Linked DNA regions of Mus musculus: all the other regions are reported to be linked to region 1. Evidence: microRNA targets listed by miRTarBase, many of them from high-throughput screens and not tested one by one. Region 1 holds a microRNA gene; each other region holds the end of a gene's coding sequence.

Evidence for each region. The annotated mature microRNA mmu-miR-466i-5p reads UGUGUGUGUGUGUGUGUGUG and lies in region 1 at 822-841, shown strand. An mRNA with a match to its seed (bases 2 to 7 or 8) in the 3' UTR can be bound and repressed. Matches are read on the target gene's strand: a 7mer-m8 pairs with bases 2 to 8, a 7mer-A1 pairs with bases 2 to 7 and ends in A, and an 8mer does both.
Region 2: the mRNA of Vps37a is a reported target of mmu-miR-466i-5p. Seed matches in the 3' UTR shown: 7mer-A1 at 1,951-1,957, 8mer at 1,952-1,959, 8mer at 1,954-1,961, 8mer at 1,956-1,963, 7mer-A1 at 1,965-1,971, 8mer at 1,966-1,973 and 21 more.
Region 3: the mRNA of Tmem151b is a reported target of mmu-miR-466i-5p. Seed matches in the 3' UTR shown: 8mer at 399-406, 8mer at 397-404, 7mer-m8 at 396-402, 7mer-A1 at 228-234, 8mer at 226-233, 8mer at 224-231 and 20 more.
Region 4: the mRNA of Nkap is a reported target of mmu-miR-466i-5p. Seed matches in the 3' UTR shown: 7mer-A1 at 949-955, 7mer-m8 at 948-954, 7mer-A1 at 935-941, 8mer at 933-940, 8mer at 931-938, 8mer at 929-936 and 12 more.

Annotation. Positions count from the first base shown.
Region 1 is chr3:85,466,561-85,469,651 of GRCm38, forward strand. Mir466k (microRNA 466k) reads left to right here and starts at 817; the gene lies at 817-938. The region is part of intron 1 of Gm31419 (a long non-coding RNA gene); the gene reads right to left.
Region 2 is chr8:40,544,765-40,547,855 of GRCm38, forward strand. Vps37a (vacuolar protein sorting 37A) reads left to right here. Exons shown (of 12, transcript NM_033560.3): 11 at 180-260; 12 at 1,512-3,091. The coding sequence ends at 260. Among named protein-coding and RNA genes, the nearest start is that of Vps37a, 35 kb to the left of the region's middle.
Region 3 is chr17:45,542,320-45,545,410 of GRCm38, forward strand. Tmem151b (transmembrane protein 151B) reads right to left here. Exons shown (of 3, transcript NM_001013749.2): 3 at 1-3,091. The coding sequence ends at 2,508. It overlaps Tcte1 (t-complex-associated testis expressed 1), which reads left to right. Exons shown (of 5, transcript NM_013688.2): 5 at 1-360. Among named protein-coding and RNA genes, the nearest start is that of Tmem151b, 5.8 kb to the right of the region's middle.
Region 4 is chrX:37,147,733-37,150,823 of GRCm38, reverse strand. Nkap (NFKB activating protein) reads right to left here. Exons shown (of 9, transcript NM_025937.4): 9 at 78-3,033. The coding sequence ends at 2,859. Akap14 (A kinase (PRKA) anchor protein 14) reads left to right here. Exons shown (of 6, transcript NM_001033785.2): 6 at 1-126. The coding sequence ends at 29. Among named protein-coding and RNA genes, the nearest start is that of Gm39503, 4.9 kb to the left of the region's middle.

The DNA.
Region 1 (3,091 bases):
ATAAACATAAGGTAATATGTGTTGGCAAAAGTAACCTGAAGTGGGAGTATACAACTGTACGTTTCAAATTGGCTGCTGCCTGTAAGGATGGAGATTGGTAGTAGCTCAGAATGGATGAAGTGGGCAGAGTAGCCAATGTGCATCCCAGAATAACCGAGGCAAATCAGATCTCATCTCACACAGACCCCATCAGTGGCCCAAGATGGAGCACATGACAGATTCCGCAGTCCCACTTTCTACTTTAAGGATGAGGAGACATCGTGGAGTGGCCTCCAGATTTAGGGGTCTCCTGTGAGCCAGGAATGTGTGGTCATGTTCTCAATGGAGCGAGTAAAAGAAAGTGTCTGTTTTTGTTCATTGAAGTCATTGACTCCAAGCCCTGGAAGCTGCCATGTTACCTCCATCTGCTGCCTAACTCTCAGGGCCACATTTAGATAAAGAGCCGAACTTCTGAACTGCAACAGCCCTGGACTTCAGTCAATTCCCTACTTTCTTACAGAAAAGAAAATATTGAAAAGCTGTATTATGGTGTCTTATATGAATGTGCTAGTTTCCAGGATGGGAGGGGCTGTATATTCACCTATATTCACACACATATACATGTGTGCATGTGATATACATTCATGTACACCCTCCTATAGAAATAAGTGTATGTGTGTGTGTGCATGCATATGTGTATATGTGTATGTATGTGTGTGCATATACACATGGGTGTGCATGTGCATGAGTGCATGTACGTGTATATGCATGTTCTCTATTGATATGTGTGTGTGTGTGTGTGTGTGTGTGTGTGTGTGTGCAGGTGTGTATATACATATATATGTGTGTGTGTGTGTGTGTGTGTACATGTACATGTGAGTATGTGTGTGTATATGTTTGTACATGTGCATGTGTGTGAGTATGTGAATATATGTGTATATGTGTGCATGTGCATGTGTGTGTATGGTGAGTAGGTGTTACTAATTGTGACTCCGATGGCTGTGTCTCCATCTGGCCTAGGTGACAGGTAAGCAACTGCACTGATCTTTCACAGGTAGCAGCAGCCTTATAGGGCAGGAGAAGACTGGCACCTCTGCACTGGCCGTGACCTTACCTGCAAGCCCCCGAGGAACAGGAGCTTTTTTACTCCTCCATCTTCTGGCTTCCCAAGCAGGTGCTGATATCTTGACAGGGAAGGGGAAATGCTCTGTCCTGGCCCTCTTGCCTCACAGAACTAAAAGCTAAACATGGCTTCAACTACCTCAGCGGCTTTCTTCTCCCACAACCACATGCAGTAGAGAGGCCCAGCGCTGCAGAATACATCTGTGATAGGAGAGGAGAGCTTGGATCTGGAATGTTCTAGAAAGTGATGGAATAATTTGAAATCCAAACTGTCTAAAGGCTGAAGAAGAAAGGAAGCCATTGCCACCTGCAGGAAGCAGCCAGGTCCTTTTGACCTCTCAAAGTTCTTGGCTGTGAGGTTCCATCATTCAGCTGATAAAACAGAGGAACAAATGTTACACAGGGAAGTTCACAGGAAAAGGGTCAGTACAGAGTGTGCAGAGCTTCTGGTGGTATAAAAGCCAGTCACTGAAAACTAGGGACATGTCCTCAGTCCTTGAGACCTGAAGTCATCTCTTCTCTTCTAAGCATCCATTATACCCAGGATTCCACAGCCCTAGGCCTTCTGGAAACAAACTTCATTTCCCCAAAAATTGTCTGCTACCCTAATGCCACCGGAACAAGTTTTTTAGCTCTTGGGTTATAGCTCAATGATGAAACACTTGCCCAGCATATACAAGACCCCAGATTCCACCTCCAACAACAACACAAAGCACGCCAGTACATCTCAGCCTGTGCAGAGGCTCAAATTTCGAAGGAAATAGGAAATAGATTCATTCATTCATTTAGTGACTCTTTCTCTTCTGCTGTGTATGAGACGCTGTGTTAGGCAACACCAGAAATAAGGTAAAGATTTAGCAGGTGACCACAAACGAGAAAGTGCAGTGCGTTCTCCACTTTAATCAGAGCAAGCCAGCAAATAAAATGTTCTAGGCAGTTTGTCTTGGCACCAGCCACAGGAATTTACCTGTGACATCCTAATAAAGAGGACACTGAGACATGACATCCACAAGGACTTGATTGGCTCTCCTGGAGCTGATTGTGCACACCAACCCCCAGGAAATAAGGCCAGGAGGTCTGTGGTGAAGCCTGAGTGTCCACGGTCCAACTGGGTCCTGGGTAACGTGGAAGCTGTTGTGAGTCTTGTCCTCAGAGACATGTATATAGAAAGACTCTAGTTCACCTCACTCTACTGAGCTGCATCTTAGGAAGGGCAATTAAATCCTAGCTATCACCCTGCAGCTGACAGGGCACACACACACTGCCAGCTCTCAACTAACTGGTCACACCCAGGGTATTTTCAGGCTATTATTATTATTATTATTATTATTATTGTATCTCAGAATATTTATATGAATAGCAGAGGAAAAAATATTTATTTACTTCCTTTTAAACATTTTTTTTTCTAAGTCTAACTTTTCATATTGTTGGGAGGCTACAAACTCAAGATTGTTTCCAAGGGATACCTGGAAAGCTAGGATGTCACCAGAATGTAGGACCATCTGCTACAGCAGATACTACTTCCTCCCTTGAGCTGAGAGACTTGGAAAGATTGACCCCAATTAAGAAGATGGGGGAGCAGGCAGGATGAGGAGGGAAGGAGGGAGGTTTTAGATAATGCGATGGTGTATCTAAAGCCACTGATTCGGGAAGAAACAGAGAGAGAGAGAGAGAGAGCACACCAGATCCAGCTGGCCTCTAGCTCTCTTTCCCTCCACCCAGACTGATATGTGTGAGCTGTCCTCTCTCCTCCTCCAGTTGTCTGCACAATGCCACCGCTCAGGTCACCCCATGTCACTGTTTCCTTCTGCCCTTGCCAGGGCCCACTGTCTCGCTAGTTCATTTCACTGCATTTAGCACCGACAGTGACCCACAGAAGAAAATACAGTAGAGGACACAGCCAATACGAAGCCCCAAGGCAGGAACAGCTGCTATCATGTAATCAGTAAGGGCAAGAGGATCCAAAAACAAGCCATTAGAGAGAATGCCA
Region 2 (3,091 bases), not on the chromosome of region 1:
TTCACACAAACCTTAATGTTCTTCTGGATTCCTTGTAAATTCTGAAGAATTACTAGCTACCTTAAATGTTAAAAAGCTAAAGGAATGTTAACAAATTAAAATATTCTTACTTGGAATTCTGTCTTAATGTAGGAAGCAGTTGGAAAAGTGACTGGTATTTTAAATAATTTATCTTCTAGATTTGCCACTGTAGAAGAGCTAAAGAAGAGAAGCTTCACCAGGTGATAGCGATGCACAGCCAATTTCATGCTCCTCTCTAGGTATGCATTTCTAGCTAGTGTCTCAAGGCTGTTATACAAGTGTGCTTTAACTTAATAGTTCTTAACAGTGCCTGCTCACTGCTTTAACATGATTCTACCATTATAGTTGTTGATTGTTCTAAAATGTTGACAATTATAAACATGACCATATAAGTACATCTATAACCAGTAAGAACTCTGTAGATAATTTCTCAGTACTTCTGTATCCTTAGTGAGAGTGTGCGTTTCTCCTAAGGGTAGCTTACAGTCATGCTTCTACCATTAGGAATGTCTTGTTTACAGAAGAAAACCTTGCCCCGTATTCAATTGCTGTGATAAAATACCATGACGAAGGTATCTTACAGATGGAAGAAGTTATTTGTGTTTATTGTTGGTGAGGGAGAATCCATAATGGTGAGGCAGGCTTAGCATCAGGCAGCTGGAGCGGGAAGCTGAGGGTTCACATCTTTAACCACAACATGAAGCAGAGAGCAGACTATTAATACAGTGTGTTGTGACCTCTCAAAGTCCACCCATAGTGACTTACAAGCAAGGCTGCACCACCTCCCAAGACAGCACCAGGTGGTCAGCTACCCAGGTCTATTGGGGTAGCTTTCTTTCAAACCACACAAACTGAAATAAGAGCTTGTTAACTGAAGGAGAACACAAAGTTAAGGAAAGTGCAGCCCAGTTACTGAGACAGACGAAGCCTCTCAGTAACCAAAACGCATCTTCCTTCTCAGGCTGGCTGTTTCCGCTTTCTGCATGAAGTCTGATCAGACCCATTGCTTTCCATGTATTCAGCAAGCACTGACCTACATCACCAGTTCCATTTTTTAGTCACCCATCAACCACAGCAGCTGCTGTGCACTGAGAGTCTTGAGTTGCAGTACTAATCCCTAGGAGAGGATGAATCAGCTGCATGCAGCCATCTGGCTGAAGGAGAGGACTTTAAGGAGGAGCATGGGGGATTCTTTTGAAAAGGGATGGAGTAATAGGCATTTCTTATCTCGAGTTTTTATTCCATTAGTATCGCCTCTGAATTGTGTTACGTCTTAATTTCCAAACTGAGATAATTTTTATACTACTTGTGTTTATCCCAGATCCCAGCCCAAGCAGTAGAAATAGATTATTGAAAGGAGCACACTGTAATCTTTTCCTTGCCCAGTTCCTTCCCAGTCAAGTTACAATACCTTAACAGGAAGGCAGTATAAAGGATCAGGGTTGATAATCTTAAATTAAATCTTAAATTTGACATTTTTTTCATTTCAGATTTTCCTGAAACCATGAACTACCAAGAGAGAAATGGGACACAGGCCTAAGCACATTGTTTTCTATTTATGACTTAGGGATGGGCACTTGAAACCATGGCTGAGGTCCAGATGCGATGTAGATTGTCTATCACCTGAGACTGATTCCGTACAGATTAGAATGACTGCTATATTTGACAAAACTTTCTGCACTATTTGCACTAAAGATGTTTATTGTTGACAAATCCTGTATTTAAGTTCCTCTATTTCTGATTAAACATCTATGCATGTAATTCTAGCTAATTTTTAATATTTTTAAAAACTACTGATTTACATTTTTAGTTTTAACTTGAAGCTGCCTCATTTATCAAGAGTGCTTATTACTTAGATTCTTCTTCCTGTCAGCCTTTTCTTTCAAAACCTATTTTCAGCTGTGAAAAGGTCATCTAGCCCACCCCGATACACACACACACATACACACACAGACACACACACACACACACACACACACACACACACACACACACACACCCCTTTCTTTCTAGATGATGAAACTGTCCAGAGCAGTTTGTTTTCAGATATTCAGTGTCAGGAAACAGCAGTCCTGCCAAGGTGCCATCTCAAGAAAGCAACCTGTAATACCTGCAGTAAATAAGAGTGAAGAATCTACTTTCTTACAGTTTCACTTTCAGACTAAAGATACATTTAGGCAGCGATACAGGTCAATGCATTGGTTGTATTTTGTTCTGGAACAGGTTGCACTGTGTAGCCCACTCTAGCCTCAAACTTGTGCTTCTCCTCCCTGAGTACAGGGTTACAGACAGGTGCCATCATCTCATAAATAGATATTTTACTTATTTTTAAAACTGTCTTTCACTTAAACCAGTACAATACAGACTTCCATGCTAACTAAAATAAATAAGTATATATGGGTTTTGGGTAAATGATACTCCTTTTATATTCCAAATGTAAAAACAAACAATTCCTTTTGTTAAGAAATGGTAAATCTAGGCAGAAATAGTAAAATTTTAATACTTTGACTTGACTTTTTAAACATTTTTTTTCCTAAGAAAGCTTTATAATAACAAGTAATGTCTTAATTTTTAATGAATTTAATTTTCTAATTGTAGATGTATTCAGCAATTTGTTTCTGTATTTTGTCACAGAGCTAAAGAAGAAAATGAGTACATATCTGAGGTTGGTAAGTTAGGACCTAAATCACTAAATACCATAACACATAATTGCTCAGTTTTCATCCGTGACTGTCATTCCAAAGCCTGCATACATTATGGATTGTCTTCATTTTTCTTACTCTACATATTTTTGGTAATGGAGTTTTAAGAAAGTCATAAATATTTTCTTATTGAAAATTTTTTTCATGTTTGTGGAAGACATATTCCTGTGACTATAAAGATTATCCCGTGCTGGGTATGCACCATGATAGCTGCCTGTCTTGCTGGCGCTAATGTTAAGGGTATGCTATGGAATCCTCAGGCAGACCTACAGATATAGGTGAGATAACAGGTGGAGTCATGTTTCACATTTGTGACCAACTTGGGGGCATTCAGAGACTTCTGAGTGTACTGGTATTTGTGTTTAACA
Region 3 (3,091 bases), not on the chromosome of region 1:
AGAGGGCCTGCACTCCAGGGACTCTTTGCAAGAAGCAGGCGCTGAGTAGAGCACCAGAGGGGGCTTGGGAGTGACTGTGTGTGTGCCTGTCGGGGGCAGCCTAGAGTCCTCTGTGCCTGACACCCTCTGACAGTTCCAGAGTGCAAACATGTAGGTGTGAGGGTGTGTGTGTGTGTGTGTGTATCTGTATCTCTCTCTGTGTTTGTGTGTGTGTGTGTGTGTGTGTGTGTGTGTAGCCACAGCTGCTAGCAGAGGTTCTAATTAGAGAAACAAGAACATTCAGTGTAAAGTTTAATTTTAGAGATTAATTAATTTTCTGGTTTTCATTTTCCCTGGCAATCAATAAAGCTACCAAGAAAAGAAACCAAAGAATTGCTTTCTCTCTAAGTCTGTGCGTGTGTGTGTGGGAGGTGAGGCTGTCTGTGCAAGGAGACCTAGGCAGAAATGGTCAGGCAAAAATAATAACGGGGCTTCCCCACCCCCTCCTCTCCCAAGGCCAAGCTCAGTTTCTGGACCCAGAATGAAAGAGGATGAGCCAAGTCCTTCCCTCCTTGGAGCTGTAAGATGGCCAAGCTGCCCCTAAATGAGAACAAGACATTCAGGTACCAGTTGGCCAAGAACTGAGGCCTGAGGCCACAGCTCACTCAGTACCTGTGCTCCAATAGTCAACACCACACACACACACACACACACACACACACACACACACACACACACACACCTCAAATTCAGGGTCCTGGAGGGTTCTGTGCTAAGTGGCCAGAGGACACTGTTGCCCAGGAAACCCAGTGGTGTGCTTGCTCCCTTCTGCCCAAACCTATCCTTCTCTGACACCCCTCCCTCCTCACCCAAGCATCTCTGTATAACCAGAAAGCTCAGCCCCCATTTGAGCCCTAGACCATGGCATCCCCACAACAGGGCTTCCCACATTCCCCAGGGAAAAAGGGGACAGGGAGCCAGAGGAGATTTTTGCATAGGTAGGGGCCACTCCCATTGGTTGGCATAGGCCTGGCACAGCCAGGAGGAAGAGGGAAAGCCAAAAAGATGGAGTTCTGCTGGTGAAGGCAAAGCAAGAAGCAGAGGGAGCAAGATTGGATGGATGTGAGCCCAATCCCTGGGTACTAAGTCTGCTGGGAAAACGTCAGCCAGGGCAGCTGGGAGAGCAAGGGGCCAAACACAGACATGCACACTGGGGTGGAGGGGTAAGAGGGTATAGGGGAGAGCAAAGTTGGTGTCAGAGCTTTGAAGGGACAGGACAAAGGGCTGGTGCCCCGGGGCTGTGTCATGGAGCCCCTCTGAAGACCTAGAGCTTCAACTCGCTGGACAGGAAGAAGTGGAGGGTCTGGTGAGAACGGATCTCCTGCCACTGGAAATGGGTATCTCTCTAGCTAGGGTTTGGGATGGACTCGGCTCTATGGAGGCATGTGTGAGGGACATCCTTCTTAAGTGTTTGCTCCACTGCCTGCTGAGGAAAAGCTACAGCACGCCAGCCCATCGCCATCCCTCCAGGGCTAGTCTCAGTCTACCAGCCATTACTAACTCTACTCCTGAGGTCTCTCGACATCGGGGTGTGTCTCAGGCTCTGTCCACTTGCTCACTCACTCACCCCTGGCGGGCTTTAATGAGGACCTCCAGGATGGCCTCCCTGACGGAAGCACCTACCCAGAACCTAGGGGAGGAAGCAGCTGATGGACCGGAGACTGAGTCTTTTCCAGAAAAGGCCTGCGGAGCCCTCCCAGCCTCCCTTCCCTTGCCCTGCACCCTGACAACAGCTCTTCAGAGCCGGTAAGCCCCGAGGTGAGTGACGTCATTGGTGTGAGGAAAAGTCCCTCCAGGACCGGACCTCTGGGGCTCAAGTGAAACAAACAACAGTGCTGAGTGTGGCTTTCCCAGCGGCGGCGGGAGGCAGCGCCGAGAGGCCAGAACTCTTTCAAGGTATGGAGATGAATACTGGGCTGCCATCTGGCCCCACCCTCAGACCCGGGAACACAGTTGCTGGCTGGAAGCCAACTCTGCTGCTCTTCACCAAACCACCGCCCATCTCCACGGGGAGCCAGGGCAAAAAAAAAAAAAAAAAAAAGCCCCAAGTGCTTTGCCTTTCTTGGTACCCACCATGATGGCTCCCTTGGTTGGGAGGCCAGAAACGGGTCCCACAACATACTAACAGTCAAGACTCGATGAAAGCCTGGAAGGGAAATCTCGAGTGTGCATGGGAAAGGGGGTGTACCCCCCTGCTGGAACTCGGTGAGGACTGGGAGAGAAACACCTCTGCCCAGGTGGATGGGATTCTTAAGAGAGCTGCCAATCTCCCAGCCTCTGTCTGTGTACAGGGAAGCAGTCTCAGATCACTGAGGTCTTGTCTGAGAGTGCCCCTCACCTCCTGCCTTCCCTCATACCCTGCCTGGCCTTAGCCACCATCCTGCCTTCCCCTGCTACACACAGGGAGCACAACACAAGGAGAGGCAGGAAGGAGAACGGCGGCGCAGGCTCCCTCCAAAGGCAGGAGGTCACAGTGAGGTCTCCACGCAGGAGCCATGGCGGTGCAGTGACCGGTGGCTGTGGCCCAGACACCCCTCCTGCCGATGGACGATGAGGACAGGGAAGCAGAGGGCGTCCTGGTAGGGCGGCGGTGGCCCGGCCTCCTCCTCGTCCTCGTCCTCCTCGTTGTCCCGCATGCTGGCCTGGCTCGACAGACGCGTCTGCTCCGTGGGGCAGCTCGCCTCGTTGACACTCCCGCTCCGGCTGCGCCACAGGCAGCTGCGCCGGGAGCCGTAGAGGCGGCTGAGCGAGAAGCGGCTGCCCCCACACCCCGCGCTCGCTCCAGGGCCCTGGGCAGCCCGCGGGCTGGCGCAGATACTCAGCGCGCTGCGCGAGAAGATGGACGAGCTGCTGACCGCTCGCTGACAGTGCTCGCAGCTCCGCCAGTGCGGGGTCACGCCCGCCGCGCCCGGGCCACCAACCCCTCCGTAGCGACACCTGGGCACGTAGCTACCCCCTGGCCCGCCGCAGCGTGAGCCCAGCTCGACCAGGTCCATAAGCAACACCTCCGAGTAGCTGGGTACCAGCTGCTGATTAGAACGGATGTGCCACT
Region 4 (3,091 bases), not on the chromosome of region 1:
TGGAGTCCATTCCCTTTAAAGTTGTTTGATTCCTATGTTATGTTTGAGGATGTTTACAATCCACACATTAAAAATATGAAACATGTCAAAGCACATAATATTTATTGAGTAATAAACTCATGGCACACAACCCAACTGTGTTTTTGTTTTTATTCATTATCCATTCTGCAATAAGTTGTTTTCTGTTCTGGAGAAGATTTTGGAGTGTGGCAAGCACAGAGTCGAGTTGTGAACATTACTAAAGTTCAGCCACTGGCCCTTAGCTGTCTGGTCCTTCTCTCTGCCTAGCTCTAGGCTTGATAGACATTTTTATGGGTATCTGGATAACAAACTGGCAACCGTTCTATATCTCACACTAACAGTCTGAAGGGCTCCACTACCCATAGATCTCTTCTACTGTCAGATGACCTCACTGCTAAACTCTGAACATCCCATCATGCTCATGATTGCAATGAAGCAGGGGTGGGTTACCACCCTTCCTTATTTCTGTCTTCACACTGGATCATCATGTATTCCTAACTTCCCAATGGGACTCCTATGCCTGCTCACACAATTTTAAAATACCAAAGACAACTTTACAGTACACTTCAAATGACAAAGACGTACAAGGGACACAGAACACTTGTAACAATTCATGTGGTAGGACTGAGCAATTTCTCTATTTTTCCTATTATCTTTGTACAACAAATAAAAAAAGAGAGAAATCCTATAAACAACAGGCGAAGAGGTGAGAAACTGAGTAAGTCTCTTTAGAAAACAAAATATTTAAATTACAATACTTCTACATAGCCTTTACTCAGGCCTAAAGAGCTATAAAGAAAACAGATAGAAGCATAACCACTACCTTGTTCACTAGGAATGTAACAAAGAGGAAATTCCTGGCTTAATGTTTTGTTCAATTATAAGTGTGTGTGTGTGTGTGTGTGTGTGTGTGTGTGTGTACACGAGTGTGTGTTTCTTCTTCTGTAGACAAGGAAAGATATGTTTTTGCAAACAATGGCTGACTTAGAGCTCAGGTGAAAGAACACAGTTTGAAGGGATAATTCAAACAAGCTAAAAATAAAATACTTTTAGCCCTCCATTTTTTAAAGGACTGCTACTAAATAATGATAGATTTTTAAATAAATTCCTATTTTTTCATTGACTGTATATACTCTGTGGAGAATAATCAAAAGAAAATCTGTAATACTTATACACTACAAAATTGTTGCATTGAAACTACATTTCCTATTAAAAAAAAGAAAAACATATTCACCCAGTTGCTAGGAGCCATTTAACAAAAAATAATGGCCCTTCGTTTTAACTTTTAAAGTAGCGATTATAAACTTTACATTGTATTACATGAGGAAGTGTATGGATTAAGAAGACTTTCAACTTTGGAACCTAGTTTCCATTAGACTTTAGGAAACTATATACTTATCAGACTGAGACGTATAAATACCATGAAATAATTTCAAGTTCAAAGATCACAGATTTTACTACATGCTAACTGCTGCTTAGTTCAGCAGTTGTGGGTTAGAAACACATTTTCTCAGAACATATATTAAACTTTCAAACAGTAATGAAGTAAGGAGGGTTTCTAGAAAGTTAAGGATTAAAGTCATGACAGATATAAAAAGCTGAAGAGCTTAACAATATTTAAAATAAAATCCTATAGTGAGGTGCAGTGGCACACACCTCTAATCCTAGCACCTGGCAGGCTGAGGCAGGGGGAACTCTGGGAGTTCTAGGCCATCCAGGGCTACATAGTGAGACTCTGTCTCAAACAAGAAATCTGGTAATATAAAGGACATAATTGAAAATGTTTAATATTTTACTTTCATCATCATCATGAAACAGCTTAATTAAAATACTGACTTATTATATTTTCCCTTATTAGCACTCTTAATACTCATTTTTAAGATATTATCCTCTATTAAATACCAGCTTAAATAGAAATAGTATTCTTATATTGGCACAATAGACTCCCAAAACTGCATTTGGAACTTTTTTGCACTGCTGGGGATGTAGCTCGGGGCCTCATAAGCACGTGCTCTAACTCTGAGCTACATCCTAGCCACTGAAAGAACAATGGTAAGTAATGTAATAGGACGGGAAACAGCTAATGCTCACATTTTCTGCCCCACACATGTGTGAGTCAGCCATTTGGTTTGCTTGGTTTTAGAGCAGAGGTAGAGTTAGCCCAGTATACATTTCTAGGGCCGACTATAGAGGCAAGCCAGTTTTCCAATTCCAGAGTGGCTGTGCACAGCAACACCGTCAGTTTGTTAACAGAAATAGCCTCCTAAATAGTTTCTGTCAAGCCCATCTGTAACACATTCAAAACAAGATATGAAATTCTCAAGTTCTGCTGGGATAGTGGCAGACACTGTATGGGGCTAATAATCATAGTCACACCAGATCATGATGTGAGACTTAACCTTCTCGTTCATCTGCCACTTTCTCTCTATGCCACCTTCCGAACATAGCAGGACTTTGGACTTTTAAACCAGAAGGCTGGGGTCAATCTTTAAAAGCCTCAAATAACTTAACTAATTTTATCAACAAGCATCTTTTATTGAAGGACTGAAGAATTAAAAAGAAGGCACAGAAGCCCTGAAAAGCCACTTCATAGCACAGTAGCCTTTTTGGCTGGGCCTGGTGGCACACACCTCGAATTTCAGCACTTGGAAGGTGGAGGCAGGAGACCAAGAGTTCAGAGTCATCCTTGGCTACAAAGCCTGAGGTCAACCTGGGCTAATTGAAACCATACATCAAACAGTAACTCAAAACAAAAACAAAACAATAAGCTTTTGTTGTTAGAACCCACAATTTCCTTTTCGATGTTAAAAATATTCACTTGTAAAGCCAAGAAGTCCTCACTTGTCATCCTTCCCTTTGGTCTTTCTGTATACCATCTCACGAAAGCTGGCCAGAATCTTGTTCTCCCTCTTTCGTCTTTCTTCTTGGTTAAAGGATGCAAGGGCTCTCTTCTCATCAGCACTGTAGATCTGGTTCTCTTTCCGAAGTCGAACAGCCTCCATTCGGCGATGCCTGGAGACAAATTTTATTTTTGACTTAATTTCATACTAATAATTCTTACAGTATGTTG